Linked DNA regions of Drosophila melanogaster. The protein of the gene in region 1 interacts with the protein of each later gene in a pairwise test. Each region holds a gene or a part of one and is shown on either strand. Other genes may lie near its edges.

Region 1 (7,959 bases):
GTACATTTTTATTCGAAATTTCCACACCAAGTGCAGGATGTCAAATGGCCGAAATGGTTGGGCAAAATAAATGGTGTAACAGCCAATTGAAGGGCCTTTAAGACGACATAAGCCCACTAATAGCTGGACAGCAACTGGGGCTGACTGGGCGAGACAAATGGAAGATGTGTGTCGGTCCATTGGCCTCGGCCAGCCCCTTTGCAATAGCCATCTGGGTAATAGGAGGAGCGAAGGGTCCTGGCCAGGAGAAAACTCTAAGAGAGAGAGAGAGAGAGAGCTGTTCCAGTTGTTGTAGCCGGCGGACCGCAATTGCTGGCGACATTTGCCGGACATTCTACGGCTGCGACAGCGGCATTTTCTGCTCAGAAAACAATGCGAACGCAGGACACAGATACGGATGGGGATGCGGATCCGGATGCGGATGCGAATGCAGATACAAATACGTGGTAGTGGGAGTGGGAATGAATGTGGGCCGGACAGACACTAAGCAGACCGCTGACAACGTGGCGTATGAGCAACATGTTCCAGAACATTGTTATCGGACTCCATTCTAGCATTCTAGCAAGCATACACACCTTTCCACATTTTCACTTTTCCCCCAAAAGCCGGTTTGCAGCTTGGAAAAATGCTCGACAGGAACTTCTTCATTTACATGCATTGCGGACGTGGTCCATTTCACGACGATGTCGCGGCCAGAGTCCATCCATCACGGGCACGTGCTCGTGGCTCCATTTCGGTCTTGGCTCCGGCGACATTTGGGGTAGGGGTTTGGGGTTTTGCAACGGGATATGGCTCTCTTGCCGCGCCCCCTGCAACTTCCAACAAGCTATTTGCGTGAAAATGGTTTTTTTTTTTAATTGAAATCGGAGTGGTCCACTGCGCTAGTTTTATGAAATTCATTCTCTCCTCTATTAAAAAACCACATCAAGTCCTCCATTTGAATCCGTTAATTAATAATGACCGAAAATTTGGCCAGCAACAGTGGCGGGTTTATTTGTGTTTTCGGCAACAAAAATATGTTGGGAAATTCTTTAGTGCTCTTCATGTGTGTTTTTCTATATAAGTTCTTTGTGAAATAGCACAAATCATATTGAAATCATTTAGCTTGAAATTTTATTTTATCTATCTTAAATTTTATTCAAATATATTTAAAATATAAGTTGAAAGCTCAAAGGCCTTAAAGTGAAAACCGAAGTATTTCCCTAACTAATGTTGACATTCGTGCAGCACTCGATGGGTTAACGAAGGACCTAGGTAATCTATTTAGTTCATCTTGCATCTAAATCCCTTTCAATTAGATAAATTAGCTGTGGCCACAGATATCTCCGCACCTGTAAAAAGTTTCCCCACTCACAATCTGGAATTCGTTGGTCCGCAATTAGCGTGGTCACCGTAATGCGGTTGCTTTTGGGTTTTCGGTTTTCGGTTTTGGGTATTCGGATTTCTGGTATTCAGTTGGCCAGGATCATCCCGACCGACAATTTGAGTGGTCTGAGTGGTTTCGATGGTGTAAATATTGTCGCAGCTGGCCAAAAAAAAAAGTGGTGGAATGGCTTCTGCAAAAATAAAGATGACAATGACAATGAGGAAGCGAGGGTGTGGCAAATCCATTTGATTGATTGAATTTAAAGAGCAGCGACAGTCACGCGGGAAAACGGGGGAAAATTACAAGACCGATGTCTGATAATGATAATGGTGGTGATGATGATGATGGTGCAGTGCTGCACGATTTTTATATTGCTCTAGGGAAAGCTCAAATCATTAGAGTGATTAAAGGTCGAGCTGACTTGACAAGAGTTCCTTTGACTTGACTCGGACCCTCATCAACTTGAGCTCTCTCAAATCAGTCATGGAGAATTCTTAAGCTCTAAATTCTGTCAAAATGAATTCAGCCAATTGTAATGTTTTTTTTCCCCCCCGATGAAAGTTTGTACTTATACTGGTAAATTTCTTTCACACTTCTATTAAGCTTACTACGTATTTTAAGCATCTTGACCCTTATCATCTTGTCTCTCAAATCAGCCAAGGATATAGCTTTCAGCATCAAGTTTATGCAAATATACTAAACACGATAAGTCAGCAAAGAAAATGTTGCCAATTGTGTATTTTTTGTGAGACAATTTTACACTGCTAACATTTGTTTAAATTTTCTACAAAATCCAAAACATTTTTCAACATAAAATTTATTTTTAAGACACGCAAAACGAACTAAAAATGCAAAAAAACTAATGAATATACATGCAAAATGTACATTTATTTTTAGGAAACATTCACTATTATATTTTGTTAGCTTTTCTAAAAAAAAAAATAAACTAATTTAGGACCAAAGGTTCCAACTTAGAAAAATTAACACTTTCCCTAAACACATCATTTTAGAAAATACGTATGTAAAGATCTGTTTGTACATAAAACTAAAGAGAAAATTTACGTTTTTTTAGGCTTAAGCAAGACCCACTTATAATTGTTAAATGAATTTTTATTAATTTGTTGTAACCCTGAAACCCGTAGTGAACTTTTTCTAGGTAAAATTTAAGATGAAATTTAGCGATTTTACTAAAAAAAAAAACAGATACAAGCATCAAGAAACTATATTAAAGTATAAAACACTAAAGCTAAAAAAAAAGGAAATCGATAACAATGTGTACTATAAGTCAGCTATGCCTAGGATTAAGTTAAATGTATAATATTTTTTTTTATAAAAACATATACATAAATACTGAAAGTATCAAAATGAACTACAGAGAAACCCAGCAAAAAAGAATATTTAAAACCTTGTCTTTTTTTTCAAAATGACTGCAAGCATTGTAATTGTAATTGTAAATTGTCGAGCGACAAAAAATGTATACACATACGAGCATCCAAATAAATACTTGAAAAAATGCTTCAAAATGTATGGATTAAATGGATATGGCGAAAGAGATAAGAGCATAGAATATACCCTTCTCGCCAAAAATTTTCCTTGCGAGTGTTTGTATTCCCATCTAGGCATTCCTAAAGGAATCCTTAGGACTTTATACCGAAGGGTATTGTGTGTGAGGATTTGTGAGTATCTGAATATCTGAATGTGTGTAAAATAAGCCCAAAGCGATCGAATAAAAATTAATTTTGTGGAAATGTGAACGCAGTTGTTGTCTTAATTCCCGGGTGGCCGCGCTTCAATCGCTCCAAACTCAGCCCGAAAATATGCCATTAGCCGGCAGAACCGGCCCGAAAGTAGATGACACTTGAGTGTGGATCTGTTGGTAAACACGGAACCGGAGGCAATCGGATGGCCCAATTAGAGGGAAACACCCGTATTCGTATTCACATTCAGCTGGACCGCACCGCCCGGAGGTATCACAATCCACAATCATGGCTGAAACGAATAAAGTACGTGGTATCGCGAATAAACAGGTTGTGATGGGCTTTTTAAAGGGTATGTAAGTAGCAGGGATGCTTTACAGATTTTTTAAACTTTTTTTTATGATAGAAATACCAAATAGGATATCGTATTGTACTTATTTAATAGGAAGAAAGGGATGAATATTATTTATTTTCCCAAAGTGGACTATTATTTTTTGTATTCGTGATTGATGGTTTTTTATTTTGGGAGAAGTGCAGTATTTACGAGTCACTAACGTTCTATCTTGTATCTGGCGGATAATCGGGCGTGTATCTGAATCTGGAGCTCGCTGTGCGAAATGCAAATTGTCGCGCGCTTTGCTATTGTTTTCCATAGATTTATGCACTCGGTCGATGCTGCGGCTAATTTGTGGTCAGTCGTGTGAGTGGCCAGCTCATCGGAGTCGGTTTGGAGTCCCATATAAAAGTGAATCGCGCCGGAGGGGTCGGTAGTCAGCGCCCAAGATGCCATCCAATCAGTATCATCTGCTGCAGCTGCACCTGCTGCTCTGCGCCTTGCTCCTGACCTCTGGCCAAAGGACACCGGTTCGCGTTCCGCCGCGAAATCTGCAGGTGCCCAACATTGGGGGCGAGAGCTTCGAGAGATTCGACACCCGATCGGCATCGACGTCGAGCAGCGGAAGCAGCGAGAGCCAGGAGACCAGCGATGAGATGCGGGAGCAACTGAAGCAACTTCTGGGCGACCAGCTGGCCACCGCCTTTGCCCCCTTGGCCACCACGCCATTCACCAGGCGACAGCCGGCCATTGCATCACCCAGCTCGGGGGCGGCTGCCCGTTCCCAGTTCGCCACCGATCCGGATCAGGGCCAGGAAGAAGAGTCCCCGGACCAGGACGGCGAGGCGGAAGAGGCAGAAGAGGAGGAGGAAGACGAAGAGGAGCAGGAGGAGGCCACTCCGCAACCTCAGCCACTGCCACCAGCTCTACCGCAACCAGGAGGCGTCTTGGAGGAGCTGGCTGGTGGTCAGGTGGACGAGGAGCTGGAGGATTATAATGCCTGGCGCGACAATTTCTATGAACTCAACGAAGACGGAAGCTATATCTTTGGGTGAGTTTGCTGGCCGAAAAGCCGTTACCATGACTATTAAAAAGGCGAATTGGAAACTATAGATTTGGCTGTGAACTAAGCCTTCTTCTCATCTTTGGCAAGTAGAGTGGGGAAAACATAACCATTCACTTAACTCGAATTTCAGAACGTTTATCTTAATAACTATATATTTAGGACATTTAATTGATATTATTATTTGGCCAGCTACTCCATTCCCCATGGCATTCGTCGCTGGGAGAAGGGCTACTATTCGGAGGAGCAGCATGGCCGGGTGGTTGAGGGCTTCTATGTCCAGCCCCGTCACGATTCCCAGGGCCTGAGATATGAGCTTCGATGCTACAGAGCCGATTCCGAGGGCTATCAGCCGCGTCCAGGTAACGAATTTTCCTTAGTCCTTATATAGATAAAATATGTTTAAATACATATGTGCACATATTATTGCAGTTGAGTTTCTGAGGACGCCGCCAATTGTGAGGCGCGATGCCATACCGCGTGTTAATTGCTTCCAAAATGCTTAAAAATAATAGACGAAAATAATCCGTAAATAATCAGAAACCAAACGTTGAATGTGTGACTTTAAAATCAAATAACACAAATCTTAACTAAAGAAAGTGGTAACTGCCCTAATTTTTTTGTGCACGAATGTAAATATATGTATGGAAAATGTCCGCAATGTGTGAATAATTTCGATCTAAACTGGTAAGACTGATAAAGTTGGCGCTCTAGTTTTCTAAGAATAAAGACATAAGTTCCACACATAAATTTCAAAATATTAAGCTATCCGCCACATAAATGGCTGAAAATTTATTTGCTTGAAATTAGGAGAGTCCGACCGTATTTTGGTATACTTTATGGCCAAATTCCTTTAAGCACGATTGTTTGGGAATAAAAACAGGAAACCGTGGTCCATAAAGAACTTGAGCGCATAAGAAGCATAACAATCGCTTAACCGACTTCTCGGGGCTTACCCGTACAGTCATCACTTCCTTGTTTGCTTTGGCGCCGCTTTTTGTTTCATTCATTTTATTCGCCTTTATTTTTGCCACTGTGTTTCAGTTGCCTTCGGTTGGTTCTCGGTTTCAAGTTTAATTCAAATGGCATTTTAAAATACTTTTTATTTGTTTTTATTGTCTTTTATTTTCGCTCGCCTCCTCGGTACTCCAGTTCGCTCTACTACACAGAGAGAAACTGTAGATCACTAATCACAGTTTCATTAAATCTTTAACAATATTAGATAACATCAAAAGATATATATATATATTATATGATTTGGTACTTGCAGCCCGAATTTGCCATTCTAATACTCCTAATTTTTGTTTTACCCCACATTTTCTCTCTGTGTACGCGTCCCACCGTGGGCAAACGAGATTTGTAGCTATGTGTGAGCTTGGCGCGGCTTTTGCGGCGTCCCTGACGTGCAGCAGTATTCCCACAGTTTTCAATTTTTGGCGATTTGTTGCGGCACTTAACGGTTGTTTGTTAGCTGTCATTGTTGTTGCTGATGAAGCGCCTTTTGTCTCAACTTCCCGCCGTATCTCCTGCTCTTTCTGCAGCGTTCTGCCCACCGCTACAGGTCGACTTCGCCACAACGGATTGTAGACCTGATGAATTTCTATTAAGCCACAGTTTCTGTATGAGAAAAAGGCAAAAAATTCGGTTTAATGTAGAATGTCATAACTTGCTGAGCTCGTAATTTCATTTCCAATCGATTGGCATTTAAAATGTGGCATTTTATTTTTTCGCCATTTTTTGCAAATTTTGATGATGTTACCCCTTACCGAAAATGCCAAAATTGACCAAAAAATTTATTTCCCTAAATTCTTCAAAAAGTGATATGGATCGTTAGCACTTGTAATTAGCTGCTCAAAACAGTTATTCCTTCATCTGTATGACCAATTTTAACGAAGTTATGACGAAAATTCCGTTTGTAAATATCAAATTTTTGGCAAAAGCTGTTTTTCCGAATTTTGGTCATCAAATAATCAGTTTTTTTGCCACAACTTTAAAAATATTTGTCGGAATATGGAATGTCATATCTCGTCGAGCTTGTAATTAAATCCGCAATCGAACTGTGTCCAAAAATGGGAATTCCATTTTTTCGCAATTTTTTGCAAATTTTGACGATGTTACCCCTTACCGAAAATGCCAAAACTGACCCAAAAATTTTTTTTCCCAAATCCGTCAAAACAGAAATAGGGTTGGTTAGCATTAGTAATTAGCTGCTCAAAACAGTAATTCTTTCATTTTTATGATAATTTTTAGCCAAGTTATGACAATAATGCAATTCAAACAATATTAAATTTTTACCAAAGGCCGTTTTTCCGAATTTCGACCATAAAATAATCAGTTTTTTTTTTTTAATGTTCAAGTTAAGGAGGTCTGCCTGTATATTCTGTGATGGCTGCTCCTGTGTTTTTCTTTTCGCGACTATCCCAAGACGGACGCGCAAATTCTGGGTAAATTGTTTGGTCCAAGTCGCCAAAAGGGGTTGCCCGCATCCACGTCCACGTCCACATCCGCATCCGCATCCACCATAAACCCCCAACCGAATCTGGAGCCACATCCGCGGGTCCCCAAAGTTTGCTTGACTCTGGCTTAAATACGAATTTGCCTAAATCAACAAACGGCGAGAACAGAACATTTTGTGAGTCTTCTTTGCATTTGAAAAGTAAAAAGTAACAAGATTTCATTGTGGCTCATATTGTCCCGTCTATTTGCATATCTTGCGCGTGGCTTTATAGCGCTATACACGGCGTAAATAGATATATACATTTATATATATATATATCTGTATATGCCGACCTTTTGCATTATATAGTCATGCCAAACGAAGGGGCAGGGGCAGACGAGCAACAGAAATAAAAAACAAAAACAGGTTCATTTAGCTCACGTTTTGAACTTTCAGGGATTGATCGTGATTTTTATTGTGGTTTCTGTTTCTGTTTGCTGTCATTTGCATGAGTCAACCACGAGTGAAAAGAGACAATTTCTAAACAAATAAATTCTATTAAATTCTATGCCATCTTAATGTTTGTTCTATTATATTTATGTGTTGTTATATTTACAAGCCAGTTGATACTTGTAATGGTAACAACTGTATTTTAGATTGATTCCCCATAAATAGAAGCCTAAAAAAAAATTAAAATAAATCATCATATACATTTACATACATTTTCGAATCCGTTTTCCACACATTTTTCAACGCAACCCACAGAAAAATGTCATTTTGGTCAACTGAAAATCATGAAGTAATCAACTTAAAGCGAAACTTTGTTGGCCAAACTTTTGCAGATACCACGATACACACAATCAGATACACAGATAAATGGGCCTGAGCTACAAACTTGGCTATAATTGAGCAATTTACACCACAACAAGGACAGTGGGTGGTTTCTGGGCGGATTTTCATTTCATTTCGTTTCATTTTTTGCGTGTCTTTTGGGTGTCTAGAAGGTCAGTTTGCAAGACGAATCGGGGAAAGTTTGCCCCGGAGCATCAAACAGTGCTGGAA
Region 2 (7,539 bases), on another chromosome or scaffold:
ATAGTCGAAGGGTTTGTTCTCGAGTTCGTCCTTGGATATGGGATTATCGGGTCGCAAGATGAACAGCGATTGCAGATAGGACAGGAAGTAGATGGGCAGGCCGGCTCCTTCCTCGGGCACCAAAGCCAATCGTCGCGCCACGCGCTCCACATTCAGGAAACGCTCGCGCAATGCATCTTCTGGATAGACACCGCGCTCCTGAGCCTCCTTCGGGACGCTTTCCAGCACAGCGGCCACCAGGTCGTCACCCTCTGTAAGCATATGCATTTAGCAACTGAAATCGAAATGTGGGAAACGTTTCAACTTACTAGCCACCTTGGCAATGGCATTGATCTCGTTCTTTAACGGGCGCAACCTATCCTTATAGTGCACGCCAGGAGTGGCAGCGCGCACGGAGGCCCACAGAGCTTGGCAGGCGGCCCAAAGGGCCTGCGCCTGATTGGCAGTACGCTCTGCATCCGCACGCTCTGCAAAAATGTTGCATATAATGTCAATAAACATTTTGATTAAACCAAGAATAAGTTGGTATAAGTACTACCCTTCATATAGGGTGAATATACCTTGAAACTCATCCTCTATCTCTAATATAGCAGCATGTTTTGAAAAGGTTTGAAAACCATTATATATCTAGCCACGCTACACTAGCTACATTCAACCGATATCGTTTAAAACGTATAACTTACCTGCCAGAGCCGCGTCCATTCCGCGCAGCTTGCCGAGCATCCCGGCCAATTGTAACTTATAGTTGGCCTTTTCGGTCGCCAGCTTATCCTCAAGTTCACGCTTAAAGCTTCGCGTCAGATCGGTCTCCCGCTGCGCCACGATGTCCTTTATATGATCGGCGTGGGCCTCTGCTTGCTTTTTGAGCTGCAAGCGCAGCAGCTTATCAGACTCGGCGTGGATGTGGAAGATTTTCTTTTGATTTTCCACGGCCAGTTTGCGCCGCTCGGCCTCCAAATGGTATTCCAGTTGGGCGCGCAAAGCCTCCGAATCGTTGTCACCGCGAACCGAGTCAATAGCTCTCTTCAGGCGCAGCTCACCATCGGTTTGCAAGCGCTGCAGCTCCTTCTGGTAGGCCAGGACATGGGTGTAGGCGTGCAGGATGAACAAGTCTAGGTCCTCCTTTGACAGATTAAGTTTCTTATCCGCCAAACTGAGGCCGGGGAAGATAGACTCGATCTCGTCAATGAAGTAGTTTCGCGCCTTCTCCACATTCCGCCAGTACTTGTCTGACACGCTGGCCGTGTCCTTGTGCCGGTAAAGCTCGTCCTTTACGTTGCCAATGTGGTCCACAAGCTTCTTGATCTTGTCGCGCACTGCCTCTACTTTCTTTGCGTTTTGGGCCGTTGCCGCAGCACTCAGGGCGATCTCGCAGGCGACTGCAGTTGATAGAAGGGAATGTTACTGAAATTTGGAATCTATTTAACAAACAATGGACTTACCAATCTTCTCCTGAGCCTCACGGGCAGCTCGCTCTGCCGTAGCCACTGCCGTATCACGGGCACTTGCTCGATTTTTCAGCGTGGTCCAAAGAGAGTTCTCTCCATTCTCTACGGCCTTGTCTACAACCTTACGGACATCGTCATTAAAGCTGAACGATATTTGATTAAATTTAAAATCACGCAACGAATAGTTAACGAGAATTGCTCACCCTTTCAAAACGCCAATAGCGACGTTGTACTCCTTGACGGCCAGTTGAGCAGACAGCTCGATGGCTTTCTCCAGCTCAACAACATCGCGGGGCAGCGGATTATCCTTAGGCTTGGCAGCGGGCGCAGGCGCTGCTGCTGCTGCTGGCTTCGACACTGGCTTCGCTTCAGTCTTGCTGACTTCGCTTGGTTTTGAGGGTCTCTTTTCCTCAGCAGGAGTGGCCTTCACGGGCTCCACTTTGGACTTCTTGGACTTGTCATCGCCGCTGCCGCCGCCAAACAGGCCCGTCACCTTAGATGTAACGGAGTCCACCGTGGACGTCACTGTCTCGATGCCAGACTTGACCTTATCGATCTGATCGTTGACGTTCTTGGTGATGCCCTTGAATGGCGGTTCCTCCTGCAGAGCCACCTTGATGACGGATCCTGCGCCGGGTACATTCTTCTCCACCAATTTGCGGAAGTCGTCGTCGTATCTGGAAAAGGATTTCTACATTATTCGATGGTTCATTTAAGCATTTCAGGTGCAATAAAATGTGTACGAATTTTTGTTGATCTACAGGTGGACTGCCTATCCTTATCTTAAACCTCTATTGTGGCTCTATTTACTTGGCGTAGGTGATGACACCGCCGACAGCTGCCAGTGGTGAGACGAAGAGGACCACTTTGCCGAAGCCAGCTTCGCGCATATGCGGTGGCAGGCTCTGGTATCCTTGATATCCTTGATCGCCTTGCTGTCCCTGCTCCTCCTGCTGCCGCCTGCCCTGTTCCCGGCCGCCACTTCCGCTGCTGCTTCCGCCGAATTGCCTGTTGTTTGCGGTCGTCTGCTGCAGCGTACGCTGTTGCAATGAAAGGTAATACATTTAGGACCATCACATTTAAGGAAATTGGCAAGCCCGTTGATACCCCCGCGCCCTTGGTCAACTGGAATTTTGGAGCTTTTCGCCCAATTCCTGGGCTTGGTAGATGACATAACCAGCGCCTCTTGTTGTATTTTCGCCAACCGCTTGTTTGTGGGCGCGCGGGGGTGTGGGGCAACGTGACGATCGATTTTCACGTTATCAAATAGCTAGAAATGAATGGGTCAAAAATTCACCTGCAGGGCGCACTTGCACTGATCTCGCACCGCTAGCCGATACATGGTGTTGATTTTGCTGTGATCCTGCTCTGCTCGTGCTCCTGCTCCTTCGGCTACCGTAAATTTCAAGTCCCGGCGGCGTGAATTAAATATTGCCCAATTCGTTCGAAGCTGGCTCGACTGCGTCAGCGCTGGTGGGTGAATGGCTGGCCAGTGCTGCTGCTTCCTCTTCCATTCCCCACACTCCCACGCACACGCACACGAGTCCTGCGTGCTGCTCGTCGTCCTTTTCGTTTCGCTTGCCCGCGCCACTCGAATTTGATCACTCAATTTTGGTTTGTGTTTTGATGGAAAAAGTGTCGGCAACATATACGCATGTACTCGATAGGCCAGTCAAAATACATTTGATTTGGAGATGGGCGCATAAGTTTAAGCAACAATTTTTATAACAAGTTTTAAATTGTCAGAATTGTCAGTGTTCTACAAATGGATTACATGGTTAAGGGATCCTTTTGCCTTAATTGTTATCAACGAAAAATTGAACTTGATCCATTCCTTGGGTGAATCCCAAAACATTTGCGATAGTTCTTATGATGACCGGTTCCCATCTCCAATAGCAAGCTAATCTATGTTTGTTCGCTGTGAATGGCACACAGCTGACTGTTACGCGATTCGATAAGAAGAAGAGCACCTGCGTTTTGTATGGAATTATAGGTTTATCTTTGTCGTTTTAAGTGAAATGCTAAGAACTTTTGTGACAAGCGGTAAGTTGAAGTCAGCTAATAGGGCTTACAAGTTTACGTTACTTTAATTGTTCTTAACTTTCAGCGCTGCGAAGCGTTTGCCGCCAGTCGCCGGCTGCATCTTCGTTGGTTCCTCTGGTCCAGCGGACACAACGTGCCACTTTGATGACTCTATCCCGTCCGTGCCTGTTGCCCACGCCATCACTGGCATCTCCTGCTCATCACCAGCTCCTGCAGCTGCCGGGTGTGCTAGCAGCCACAGGAACACCATCAAACACACGCAACGTGACCAAATTCTCGCTGGTGAAGGGTAAACGAAAGACCGTCAAGGCGGTACTGAAACGTTTTAAGCGCCTGGACTGGGGCGCCTGGATACGCACCCATTCCGGTCGCCAAAAGAAGCTCTTCAAGAAATCCGCAGCTTTACGACGCCGCCTCAAGCAGCACGTCTTCACCAATGCCACGCAGAGCTGGCTGCTGGACAAGATGGTCACCAGCTATTGGCGGCGCCCAAAGCATTTCATCAACGATCCCTATAAGCCCTATCACAGCCGCAACGAGTACTACGCCACACAGTCAAAGACCTTTAAGGTGTGACCTGGCTAATCAAAGATACTACATACTTGAATTAAACAAAACCAAAATATCTGATTATAGTTTATCTATTGAAAACTACAAAATCATCTATTAAATGCCATTGTTTCACTAATAACACAAACTTTACAAACACAACAAGCCAAATGAGTTGACAATCTTAGGGAGCCACAATCTTGTTGCACAGCTTGCCCAATCCAACAATCTCCGACTGCACGACATCACCGGGCTGAAGGAATTCCGGCGGAGTGCGATGCATGCCCACGCCCTTGGGCGTTCCGGTGACTATGATGTCGCCGGGCAGCAGGGTAATGGTCTGCGACAGACGATTGATCACATCGTCCAGCTTGAAGATCAAGTTGCCGGTATTGCCGTTCTGCTTCTCCACGCCGTTGACCCAGGTTTTCAGATTCAAGTTGTAAACATCCGGCACCAGACTCTTGTGCACCACAGCCGGTCCCAGCGGCAGAAAAGTGTCCATCGACTTGCCCATAAGGAACTGACCACCGTTGCGTTCCTTCTGCCAGTCGCGGGCGGAGATATCCTGGGCCACCGAATACCCGAAGACATAGTCCATGGCCTGCGATTTGGGCACCTGGCGGGCGACCTTGCCAATGACACAGACCAGCTCAACCTCCCAATCGATTTTCTGTGGAATTTTTTTTTGGTCGGTTGGTTATCTCGATGAGCCTATCTCTTGTTATCTCTTGCTTCACTTACGCTGCTGGCCGCATGAGCGATGACATTATCTTGAGGACCCACCAGGGCATTGTTAAACTTGCTAAAGAACAATGGTTCCTTGGGGGTCGGCTTGTTCTGCTCATCGCAGTGGTCCTGGTAGTTCAGACCTGCAAGCAGATCGAGAATACGTCATTTTGAAGGTCAGGGTCCAACTACATATGTTTATACATATGTATGTTAATTCATTCTTTACCAATGCAGATGATCTTGCCGGGATCGGTAAGAGGCGGCAGCAAAGTGACATCATCATTCACCTCGAGTCGCGGCTGCTTTTCGGCCTTCTTCGCCAGTTCCTCCAGATTGGGATCCTGGGCAATCAGGATCTTTAGATCGCTGGGCACACCCTCCAAGCCGGCAAATTCCACCAGCGACTTTTGATCCTCGGACAGTAGACCAAGTCGCTTGGCCAAGTCACCTTTTCGCAGGTATTGAACGAACCTCATTCTGGCAGCTTGCATTTATGACTGATTTACGTCGAACGAATCTATCGCGGCTATCCAATTAACGCTCCAGTGGCCAAACTCGAATCTCACGTAATGAGGGCACCAGCAATCAGTTAAAGAATTTACACGCGCTTTTCAACACTGCCAGACATTAACCCCCTGAAGCCGCAGGTGTTAGAAAAGCATCATACATATAAACATACATATAATGTTATGGGTTGCATATCAACTTTTTATCAGAAAATGTATGTTAAAAAAGTTAAGAAACGTCTAAAGTTATATTCTATTTACTATACATTTTTTAAATTTGTAGTAATGATAAAAAAGTAGTAAACGTATTTTTATAATTTCGCAATCATTTTAAAGAGCATATAAATAAAATATAAAACTAAAGATTAAGAAAAAAAATTTTTACAGGCATTTTGAACAGATGAGAATTCTGCATATACATAAGTATATCAATAAAAAAAAACTTTAATTAATATATTCCTCCACAATGCTATCAACTCGTTACTGGATAATTCGAAATCCTTAAAAGGATTTAAGTAAAGAATAAAATAAAAAGCAAAACCACATTCGAATTTTGGTGTTCAGAAGTCAAGATTCAACATTTATTTAAAGAGAGGGCTCAACATCGTTTCGCTTCGCAGCGTCTTAAACGCATTTAACCAAACTCCCTCTTCCATCCATTCGATAACTTAAGCCGATTTTGTACCTATAGCGATCATCTAAATATGCATTCCATCTAGTCGCTACCAGCGGTCACTTTGCCGCCATCCGCGCTGCCAAACTTCTCAAACAGCTCGTACTTCCAGCGCATGTAAGCTACGCGCATTCTGTCCCAAACGTTGTCCACGGAGTCCATGGCTGGGCGCACATCCAGCAGGGCAAAGCGGTAGTCTTTGTCCACCAGTCCACCGTCGTAGTAGTCGATGACGTAGCGCACATCCTTGCCGCAGCGATCGACTATCCAGTCATGCCTATCGAATGGCAGCTCGTATCTGTAAGACAATTCGAACATTAATTCAGGTGAGATCTTCCGTCTGGAGTATACTCACCCCAGCCAGCTGCGGAATCGAGCGCGCGGACTGAAGTCCTTGGCCTTGCCACCGAAACTCTTGAGGCGCGGATTGCCGCATTCCTTGGCGTGAAGCGCCTCCCACTTAAGTACCTCCTGCCAGGCCTGCTCGTTGTTGGCATTGTGGATGCGTATGATGTCGCCCATGTCCTTTTGCGATACGTCCTCGGTCTTCCAGCGCCAGCCCTTGCGTAGCATGGCGTTCCAGAACATCTGTTGGCTGGGATACTGCCAGAATTGAACGCTGCCATCCTCGGTGACTTTGGGAATGGTCGACGTCTGGCGGTCGGTGGGCAGTGGAAAGGGCTGATCTGCCGCCGGCTGTTGGTTTGCCGGTGGCATCATATTCAGCGGATTAACGTCGCTGTTGTCGTGCTGCACCGGACATTCGGAAGCGGCCTGCATCTTGGGATGTGGGGGTACGGCGGAGGCCGATTTTGCATCTCCATGCTTCTGATGCATGGGGCATTCTGGTGGCGGGGCACCACTGCCGCTCATGTACTTGGCGTGGTCCACCGGCACACTCTTCGTGGCCTCCATTTGCACTCGGGTGATGGCTGTATTGCCCATTTCTGCTGGGGATTGGTTAATAACAAAATCTGTGTCACGAGGAAAATCGCATTAGTTCTCAGTTGCGTAACTGTAAGGAGTGGGTTACACTCCCAGTGCTGGGCCCCAACGCCAGGACTTACTCGATCCTAATGGTCACAACTCTCGATATTTGTCGATCTTCTCCTGGAGCCTTTCGCCTTAAATTTTGATTTATATTTTCGTTAGTTCATCGTTAGAACTTTTGAGCCCAAAATGCAGCGAGGTTGTGGTCAGGGCTGCCAGACCAACGGAAAGTGGACCAGTTGTTTCTGCACCGTGACAATATGTTAAGTTAAAAATTTAAAAAATCAACTCGCACCGCACGGCAATGTGAGTTTATGGTGTGTGTCTGTCTACAAATGAAAAGCATTGTTGAATTTATTTCAAGTAAATTAACTTGTAGTTAAACACCCCAGCTGTGCTGTGTAGTGTTGAGCAGTCGCTTTGCGATATTTTTAAAAAGTAAAACAAATACATTTATACATTAAAATGTTATTTTGTAAGTGTTATATAAAGTTTTTAAAATACTGGGTTAAATTTCATTTCATATGAAATTCTTTCTGATTCTGAGAAAAGTCGCAGTTAAAGCATAGACAAACATTTTGATTTTACATTTTTGATA
Region 3 (7,780 bases), on another chromosome or scaffold:
AAGTGACCACTAAGTCCTATAACTATTGTACAATATTATCATCCTGTCCATGTGTCTTTGCATTGCAGGGTTCCGAGCTGCGTAGTGTCGAAGGCAGTTGCTGCGGGGAGTGTGTAAGGACTCACTGTCAACACAACCACACTCTGTATGCGGTGGGTGAATCATGGCACAATGATGCCGATTGCACGCTCATCGAATGTGGACGTCTGGATAATGGACAGATTGTAATGAATACATACAAGAGAAATTGTCCGGCTTTGACTGAAGATTGTCCAGCTTCAAGATTGGAGGAGCGAAACTGTTGTCCCTACTGCAGGCCCCTCCAAACGGCCAGGATTGAGGAGCTGCAGGACAATGTAGCGGAGAGCACGGATGATATTTGGACAGCCGAATGGTATCGAAACCATCCCTGCAATCGGGATTGTCAAGTGGGAGCCGAACCCATGACCTGTCGCTACAAGTTCGTGGTGGAATGGTACCAGACCTTTTCCAAAGCCTGCTACGATTGTCCACGGAATCTTACGGACTGCTCCCGACCACATTGTGTCATGGGCGATGGTTTAGAGCGGAGTATCACTGTGGTCAATCGTATGATGCCCGGGCCAGCGATTGAAGTCTGTGAGGGCGATGAAATAGTGGTCGATGTGAAGAATCATTTGTTGGGCGAAAGCACATCGATTCACTGGCATGGTCTGCACCAGAAGAAGACACCCTATATGGATGGTGTACCACACATCACTCAGTGTCCAATTACTCCACATGCGACCTTCAGGTATTCCTTTCCAGCCGATCTCTCCGGCACTCACTTCTGGCATTCGCACACTGGCATGCAGCGAGGTGATGGAGTTTTCGGTGCCTTAATCATCCGGAAACCAAAGACAGCCGAACCACACGGAGGACTCTACGACTTTGACCTCAGCGAGCATGTGATGATTGTCCAGGATTGGATACATGACACAGGTGCCAGCATATTTTCCTATCATCATCACTCCCGAGGTGATAATAAGCCCCACAATCTGCTCGTGAACGGCAAGGGACGTTACTATAATCGCATTTGGGCGGAAGCGAAGCAAGCTCATCGCAGAGCTGAGGAGAGAACTACCCAACCGGTGGAACCATTGCCCAAGTCCCAGGTGGACTTCGTTCAGACACTACCGAGACAAGCTCGATTGGCTAAAACTAATACAACCAAACTATTTCCCGTGAATTCCCGCCAAAAGAGGGGTAATTTAAATGAGATACCCTTGGAACTAGTTCCCCATCAGATTTACACAGTGAGAAGAGGTTTTCGTTATCGCTTCAGAATTATAAATGCGGAATATCTAAACTGTCCTATTGTGGTGTCTATTGACGGTCATAACTTGACAGCCATAAACTCGGATGGCTTTGATATTGAGGCAATGGACGTGGGCTCTATAGTTACCTATTCCGGTGAGCGATTTGATTTTGTACTAAATGCCAATCTCGAGGTTGGAAACTATTGGATTCGACTAAAGGGTTTGATGGACTGCAGCGAAGTCTTTACTTCCGCCTTTCAAGTGGCCATTCTTCGCTATGAGGGAGCTCCAGATGAAGAGCCTACTGCGGAATTGAGTTACGGCCACAAGGCTGAGGGCATTGAACTGAATGTGATGAACCGCGGTCCTGGTTACCCGGACACCAAAACCGTTGCAGAAATGAGGGCTCTGCCCATCTATGATCATGTCTCGGGCATCGATCACGATACACTGAAACCGGAAGCGGACTACAAGTTCTTCATCTACTACGATTTCTATACTAAGAATAATCCCGATTTTCACGATAAAGATCTTTATGCCATGGACATGGAGATGACCCAGCAGAATCGCCTATACACGCCTCAACTGAATCATATAACCTTAAATTTTCCTTCGCTAGCACTGCTACCTTCCAGGAGTCAGCTAAAGGACTCGGACTTCTGTAACGAAACGAGCTTAATGGATCAGGGTATCGATTGTCGCCAGGAGTTCTGCAAGTGTCATCATGTCCTGCAGGTTCCATTGGGCGCCGTGGTCGAGATGATCATCGTGGACGAGGGATTCCAATACTATGCCAATCATCCCTTTCATTTGCATGGAAACGCCTTCAGAGTCATGGGATTGGAGCGTTTGGGCGAAAATGTCACCGTTGAAATGGTTAGTAACTTTGTTCGAAGGAAATAAAAAATATTTATTTAACTTGTAACTATTTATATTCTCAAGATAAAACAACTGGATCAGTTCAATCTACTCAAGCGGAATCTGGACAATCCACCCGTGAAGGACACAGTTACTATTCCAGATGGAGGCTATACCATCATCAGATTCGAGGCCTCTAATCCGGGCTATTGGCTTTTCCATTGCCACATCGAATTCCATGCCGAGATCGGTATGGCTCTGGTCTTCAAAGTGGGTAACGACGATCAAATGGTTCCGGTGCCAGAGAACTTTCCCACCTGCGGCGATTATAATCCAGACTTAAGATCTGATGGAGGAACTACAGAAGATTCGGGATCCAGCAAGCCGATAACAGCTACTCCCCCAAATACAGGAGGCGGTGGATCGGGTCTGGAACCCACTTGGATTACATTGATGATTAGTTCCATGCTAGTGAAACTCTATCGATAAGAGCTGGCCTTCAAAAGAGAGCACAATCCAAACTTGCCAAACGAAATTTAGAGATTATTTATTGAAGAGTTGGAAAGATCGTGTAGATCAAATTGATTTTGATTGATGTAGAAATATATTTGTTTTCCGGCACCTGTACATATTCCATACAAAAATATTCGCATCGTTGTAGCATAAGCATCTGTGATTGTCTAAGAAAATGTTTAAATAAGTCATTTAAATAAATATCTAAATGTTTTTGTAAGATTTTTGGTGTTTCTAATGAAGAGGTAGAATCTTATAATCATGAGTGTAAAATTGCTCTCAAAGATATATATTGAAAAACAAATTTTAACTTTAATGTACATATATATAGAATTCCACAAAACGTAAAATAAATCTGTTTCAAATGTTCCTAATTATTGCAACAATTTATTCGGCAAATTCTACAATTTTATTGTATAATGAGGAACCCAGTCGAAATATTGATATTTCGTCAGGTGGCTGGAGATCAGATGAACCAGCCAACGACCTCGTCGTCGAAAGCTGTCTTATCTGGTCCCTTCTGGCAACAGCTGGCTACGGTCTTGTTGTCGTCTTTTCCAACTCAAAATATCAGGAATGGACAGGGACCTGATCTTCACCCGTTGACCCGATGAAGATAGCTGAAATTATGGCGATGTTATTGCAATCCGAATAAAGTCATCACATTAAATGCGCTGGACATCTGGAATCGGTGCATCTGTGGTGTTATATAAGAGCAGCCACCTACTAGCTTAACATCAGACAGAGTTAGTCACTCATCACATCACAATCCAAGCCACGTCAACCCCAAATAATTAACCCCAAGCAAAAATGTTTGACTGGACCGGTAAGAATGTTGTCTATGTGGGCAGCTTCAGCGGCATTGGATGGCAGATGATGATGCAGCTGATGCAGAAGGACATCAAGATGATGGGCATTATGCATCGCATGGAGAACGTTAAGATGATGAAGAAGCTGCAGGCCATTAATCCATCCGTGAAAGTGGTCTTCATGCAAATGAACCTCATGGAAAAGATGTCGATCGAACAGGCGATGAAGAAAATGGGTCAAATGATGGGACACATTGATGTGATGATCAATGGCGAGGGTGTCCTGCTCGACAAGGATGTGGAGACTACGATGGGCATGAATCTGGTAAGGAATAGATAATTAAATTATTGATTGGTATCTCAACTTCTAAATCCTTTCCCACAGACTGGCATGATCCAGTCGACGATGATGGCCATGCCCTACATGGACAAGACACAGATGGGCATGGGTGGCATGGTGGTTAACATGTCCTCTGTCTATGGCCTGGAACCCGCGCCCGCCTTTTCTGTCTACGCCGCTGCCATGCACGGCATCCTCGGATTCACCCGCTCCATGGGCGACAAGATGATCTACCAAAAGACCGGCGTCATGTTCATGGCCATGTGCCCGGGACTCACCAACAGCGAGATGATTATGAACCTGCGCGACAACGTTACCTGGCACCACTCCGAATCCATGGTGGAGGCCATCGAGAGCGCCAAGCGCCAAATGCCCGAGGAGGCAGCCATGCAAATGATCCACGCGATGGAGATGATGAAGAACGGCAGCATGTGGATTGTGAGCATGGGCCAGCTGAAGGAGGTTACGCCCACGATGCACTGGCAGATGTAAATGGCTTAGTTGAGCGATTATTTGTTAAATCATTTCAAAAAAAAAAATATATAAAAATATTAGGCCTCCCAGTTTGTTTCTTGTTCAATCTAGCTACCATTTACAAATATTTCTTATCTTATAACGATTCCGTGTAGAGAGTATAACTAAATACTTACAAAATTTTGTTTTCCATTGAGATCGTCTTATAAAAATATTTTTTATATAAATATTGGTTCAAAATTTGCAAGACTCGGCTTCTTACCAACAGATGTACCATGTCGAATTATAGGGTTACATATAAAAATCGATGCATTAGCTGTGGCGTCGAAGTACCAGTCCTTTCCACAAATGGATGCCATTTCAAAGTTCAGGACAAATTTAATTCTTGTGGCTCCAAAATAAGCAATCCTCGAAAACGGCCGAGTCAAATAAAAAGGCACAGGAATATTTCTCAAAGAAAGCTAAATAATGGTTTTAAATGGTCTTCATCATCTACGAAAAAACGATTCTATCCGTTAGTAAAGAAACAAAAATTGTTGATGTCCTCAGAGCCCTCTCATAAGGCTCTAATTTTAAGAGAGATGATTAGGTTAGGAAGAAAACCGAATCGAAAGTTCGAAAAGGCTGCGAGAAATAGTGTATTTCCGGGTAAGTAATCATAATGCAATTTAAACATATCATAACGAAAACTTTAATTCTTAGGCATCTGCCGTACGATATTGAAACTGCACCAGTATACTAATCTTGTACAGTAGAGATTACTGATGTCACAGATTCTTTTGAGATCAAAGTCCCCACCATATGGAATCATTTGGATGGATGGATCAATGGATGTAGATGAAATGGGTACATGCAGACATATATTTTTAGAAGAATCAATGGAAATTTAAGTATTTAAATATTTATTAAGCTAACGTACTTATATTGTGTACAACAGTTTTCAATTAAATGGAATAGGAAAATAAAGTCCTGGATGAGGTACATTTACATTGTAAATACCAGAAATGACAGCTTATTGTAAATAGTTTAATATACATTTATTATCACATGGTAAAGTCTGTATGATTGACGTATTTTTCGAATTAAGTATTTGAACTATTACTGCAATTGTTTCCCTCAATCCTCCGATTGAGCTCAGCATCAAACTCTGCGTCATTGAAACCGATGTCTCGACGGAAGAACTCATCGAGTACCTTAGCTTGGCACTGGCCTACCTCCATTGCGGCTCGCCAATCCGCGACATTTTGAGGAATTTTCTGACCCTCCATCTTAGCATACACCGGTTCCAGGGGACAATTGTAATGACGCAAGTCGGCCTTCACGTTCCTGGCAGTATTGATTACATGGTAGCACACTGCACACTCGAACTTCTCAAAGAGTGATGCTCCCGGAGAAGAATCGCCTATGTGGTACTGGCGCGTGACAAGGTTGTGGAGTAGCTTTTTGTTGGAAATGGGGTTACGCCGATTTAGTTTGTGTTGGCGGTACGAATTGTACAGCTTTTTGTTATCCGCCAACTTATTGAGATACTCTACCAATGCCTGAGGATTTTGAAAGTCGTTCACAAAAATTGCAGATTTATTATTCGGTTCCCAGTCCTGCAATATTTGTAGAATGTAATAAAAAAAAAATTGTGAAAATTATTATTTGAAATACGGACTTACTTTTATGGTGGGTGAGCCAAAGTAAATTGGAATAACTCCCATTATCAAAGGACGCCAAAACTTTTCGGTAATATAATCCGGACAGGCAGCGTTCTCAATGGCAATCATGAACTTGTATTCGGACAGGAAACGCAGCAACTCCGGTGAATATAAATTATTCAAGTAATCCTTCTGCAAGCTAAAACAAAATCAATAGGCATTGAACAATTTTTACGATTTCGATTGCAAATTAGATATTAGTGTTTTTCAGCTCGACATGAAGGGCATCCGCATCTTCCGTTGCTATCTTGGTCAGAATCATTTGAACTATTTTGAGACTCCATTATTGAATCGTCATCACAGAAAAGAGGTTCTTCTAGATCTTTATGATTTCCCTGACGACAGCAGCATTCTCTGGAAACGTTGCTCATTTGAGGCAGCGAGCCGTACAACTGCACCCAGCACTCTGAACAACAGACCTTGGGAAGCTCGTTGGCACTTGGTGATGTCATGATGGCAAAGGAATTTTAGAACGATAGTGTTTCACGTGATGTGTTTGTCACGCGTGTTTGTTATGAGTGTGTAAAATGTTTGGGATTATAAATAGGATACAAATGGAATAGCCTACTTGCCTCTCTGGCAGATCTCTATTCCGTAGGCAGCTGCCGTAGGAATCGATCGGAAGATGTTTCATCAGTTCCTTTACGTAGTCCTCCCTTCCAGACATCGTGTCGCAGTCGCTTTGGAGGAACACCACCGATGTGGATGGACGGTATCCGTACTTTGACTTGCCGTCAAACGTAACATAGTAATCCTTCGAAGTAAGCGCCTCGCCACTGGGCAAGTACATCGTAGTCAGCGGCAAGTTGCTGTAGCGGCTAAACGTGGATGTGAAATGGAAGTGGCGAAGGAACTCTTTATTGGACACAAAAGGGGTGTTCCTTGGTGATTCTTCATGCAGTAGGGCCCAGATTTGGTGCTCGTTCCGAGGCAGGGGAAAGTCTCCCGTCTTTATGTTTGAGCCGTAAAACAGGACGCCCTGTGAAAAATGTAAGAGACATTCCGTTATTATTATATCAAATTACAATGAATCTACAATTACATATCTTACTGAAGTAAGCGAATTTGTATCTGCAGTGCTATGCATTTCTCAGTCTAAGCTATGTGTTTACATATTTTTCAGAACTATGGTACAGTATCTCAAACAGTTGGAGCCCTATATTATTATTATTTTCAATCCAATTCTTATCATGTCTGCCGGATGTGAAACAAAAAGAAATCTAGACTTTTGGTTTTTGAAACGAACCCGGGCCCACGGACGGCGGCTCCGCTTGTTGGTGATGCGGCAAGTATGAATTCCGCACTGGCGCTGCACGTCGTAATTCCAGGACATATCCCTGGACCACCAGACCAGCTCCACAGGACTGTTGAACTTGATGTTTTCGTAGTTAATGATATTTTCCGACCAGAAGAACAATACGGTCGCCCCAACCATAAGCAGCGCAACCAGTGCAATTCCGTAACGTTGTGCCAGTCGCATGATTATCTTTGCAGTTCTTTGCTAGCTAGATAATCAAAATTATTCGCTGCACCACTTCGAAAAGATTCAAAAAGCCGGTGCGCCGCAATTTCGCTCGAGCGCCCCAATTTCGACTGTCAGTCGTCAGCTGATTTTGCTCAGATGTAGTGTTGGATAACGTTTGGTATTTTTGAGACACGATTTGCACGATACGATTGTATGCCAGGAAATGTATAAACATTTTTATTTAAAAAATAAAACAGTTCTGCCTGAATGTTTAATATAATTAAAACATATAATTATTATTCAACTTAAATTTTTAAAGCATAATTCTATTTATTTGATAT

The links. The genes of interacting proteins can lie anywhere in the genome.
Region 2: the proteins of CG15754 (region 1) and mRpL35 interact in a two-hybrid assay, tested with the Drosophila melanogaster proteins (one large-scale study listed by BioGRID).
Region 3: the proteins of CG15754 (region 1) and Fbp2 interact in a two-hybrid assay, tested with the Drosophila melanogaster proteins (one large-scale study listed by BioGRID).

Annotation. Positions count from the first base shown.
Region 1 is NC_004354.4:13,524,167-13,532,125, forward strand, and holds CG15754 (uncharacterized protein), read left to right. Parts: upstream 1-3,839; 5' UTR 3,840-3,846; coding exon 3,847-4,448; intron 4,449-4,590; exon of another isoform or gene 4,591-4,652; coding exon 4,653-4,822; exon of another isoform or gene 4,823-4,892; coding exon 4,893-4,966; 3' UTR 4,967-5,114; downstream 5,115-7,959. Other genes in the region: CG44428 (uncharacterized protein), read right to left, coding at 5,651-5,938.
Region 2 is NT_033777.3:22,020,142-22,027,680, forward strand, and holds mRpL35 (mitochondrial ribosomal protein L35), read left to right. Parts: upstream 1-3,385; 5' UTR 3,386-3,466; coding exon 3,467-3,491; intron 3,492-3,555; coding exon 3,556-4,067; 3' UTR 4,068-4,200; downstream 4,201-7,539. Other genes in the region: mitofilin, read right to left, coding at 1-251, 309-467, 561-581, 684-1,379, 1,443-1,591, 1,652-2,125, 2,259-2,488, 2,746-2,790; CG6028 (uncharacterized protein), read right to left, coding at 4,225-4,713, 4,785-4,912, 4,999-5,263; Cchl (cytochrome c heme lyase), read right to left, coding at 5,994-6,249, 6,307-6,896.
Region 3 is NT_033779.5:9,423,477-9,431,256, forward strand, and holds Fbp2 (Fat body protein 2), read left to right. Parts: upstream 1-3,307; 5' UTR 3,308-3,458; coding exon 3,459-3,782; intron 3,783-3,842; coding exon 3,843-4,289; 3' UTR 4,290-4,441; downstream 4,442-7,780. Other genes in the region: Mco1 (multicopper oxidase 1), read left to right, coding at 69-2,153, 2,220-2,624; CG42847 (uncharacterized protein), read left to right, coding at 4,547-4,919, 4,974-5,026; FucTB (alpha1,3-fucosyltransferase B), read right to left, coding at 5,354-5,869, 5,936-6,113, 6,547-6,953, 7,221-7,454.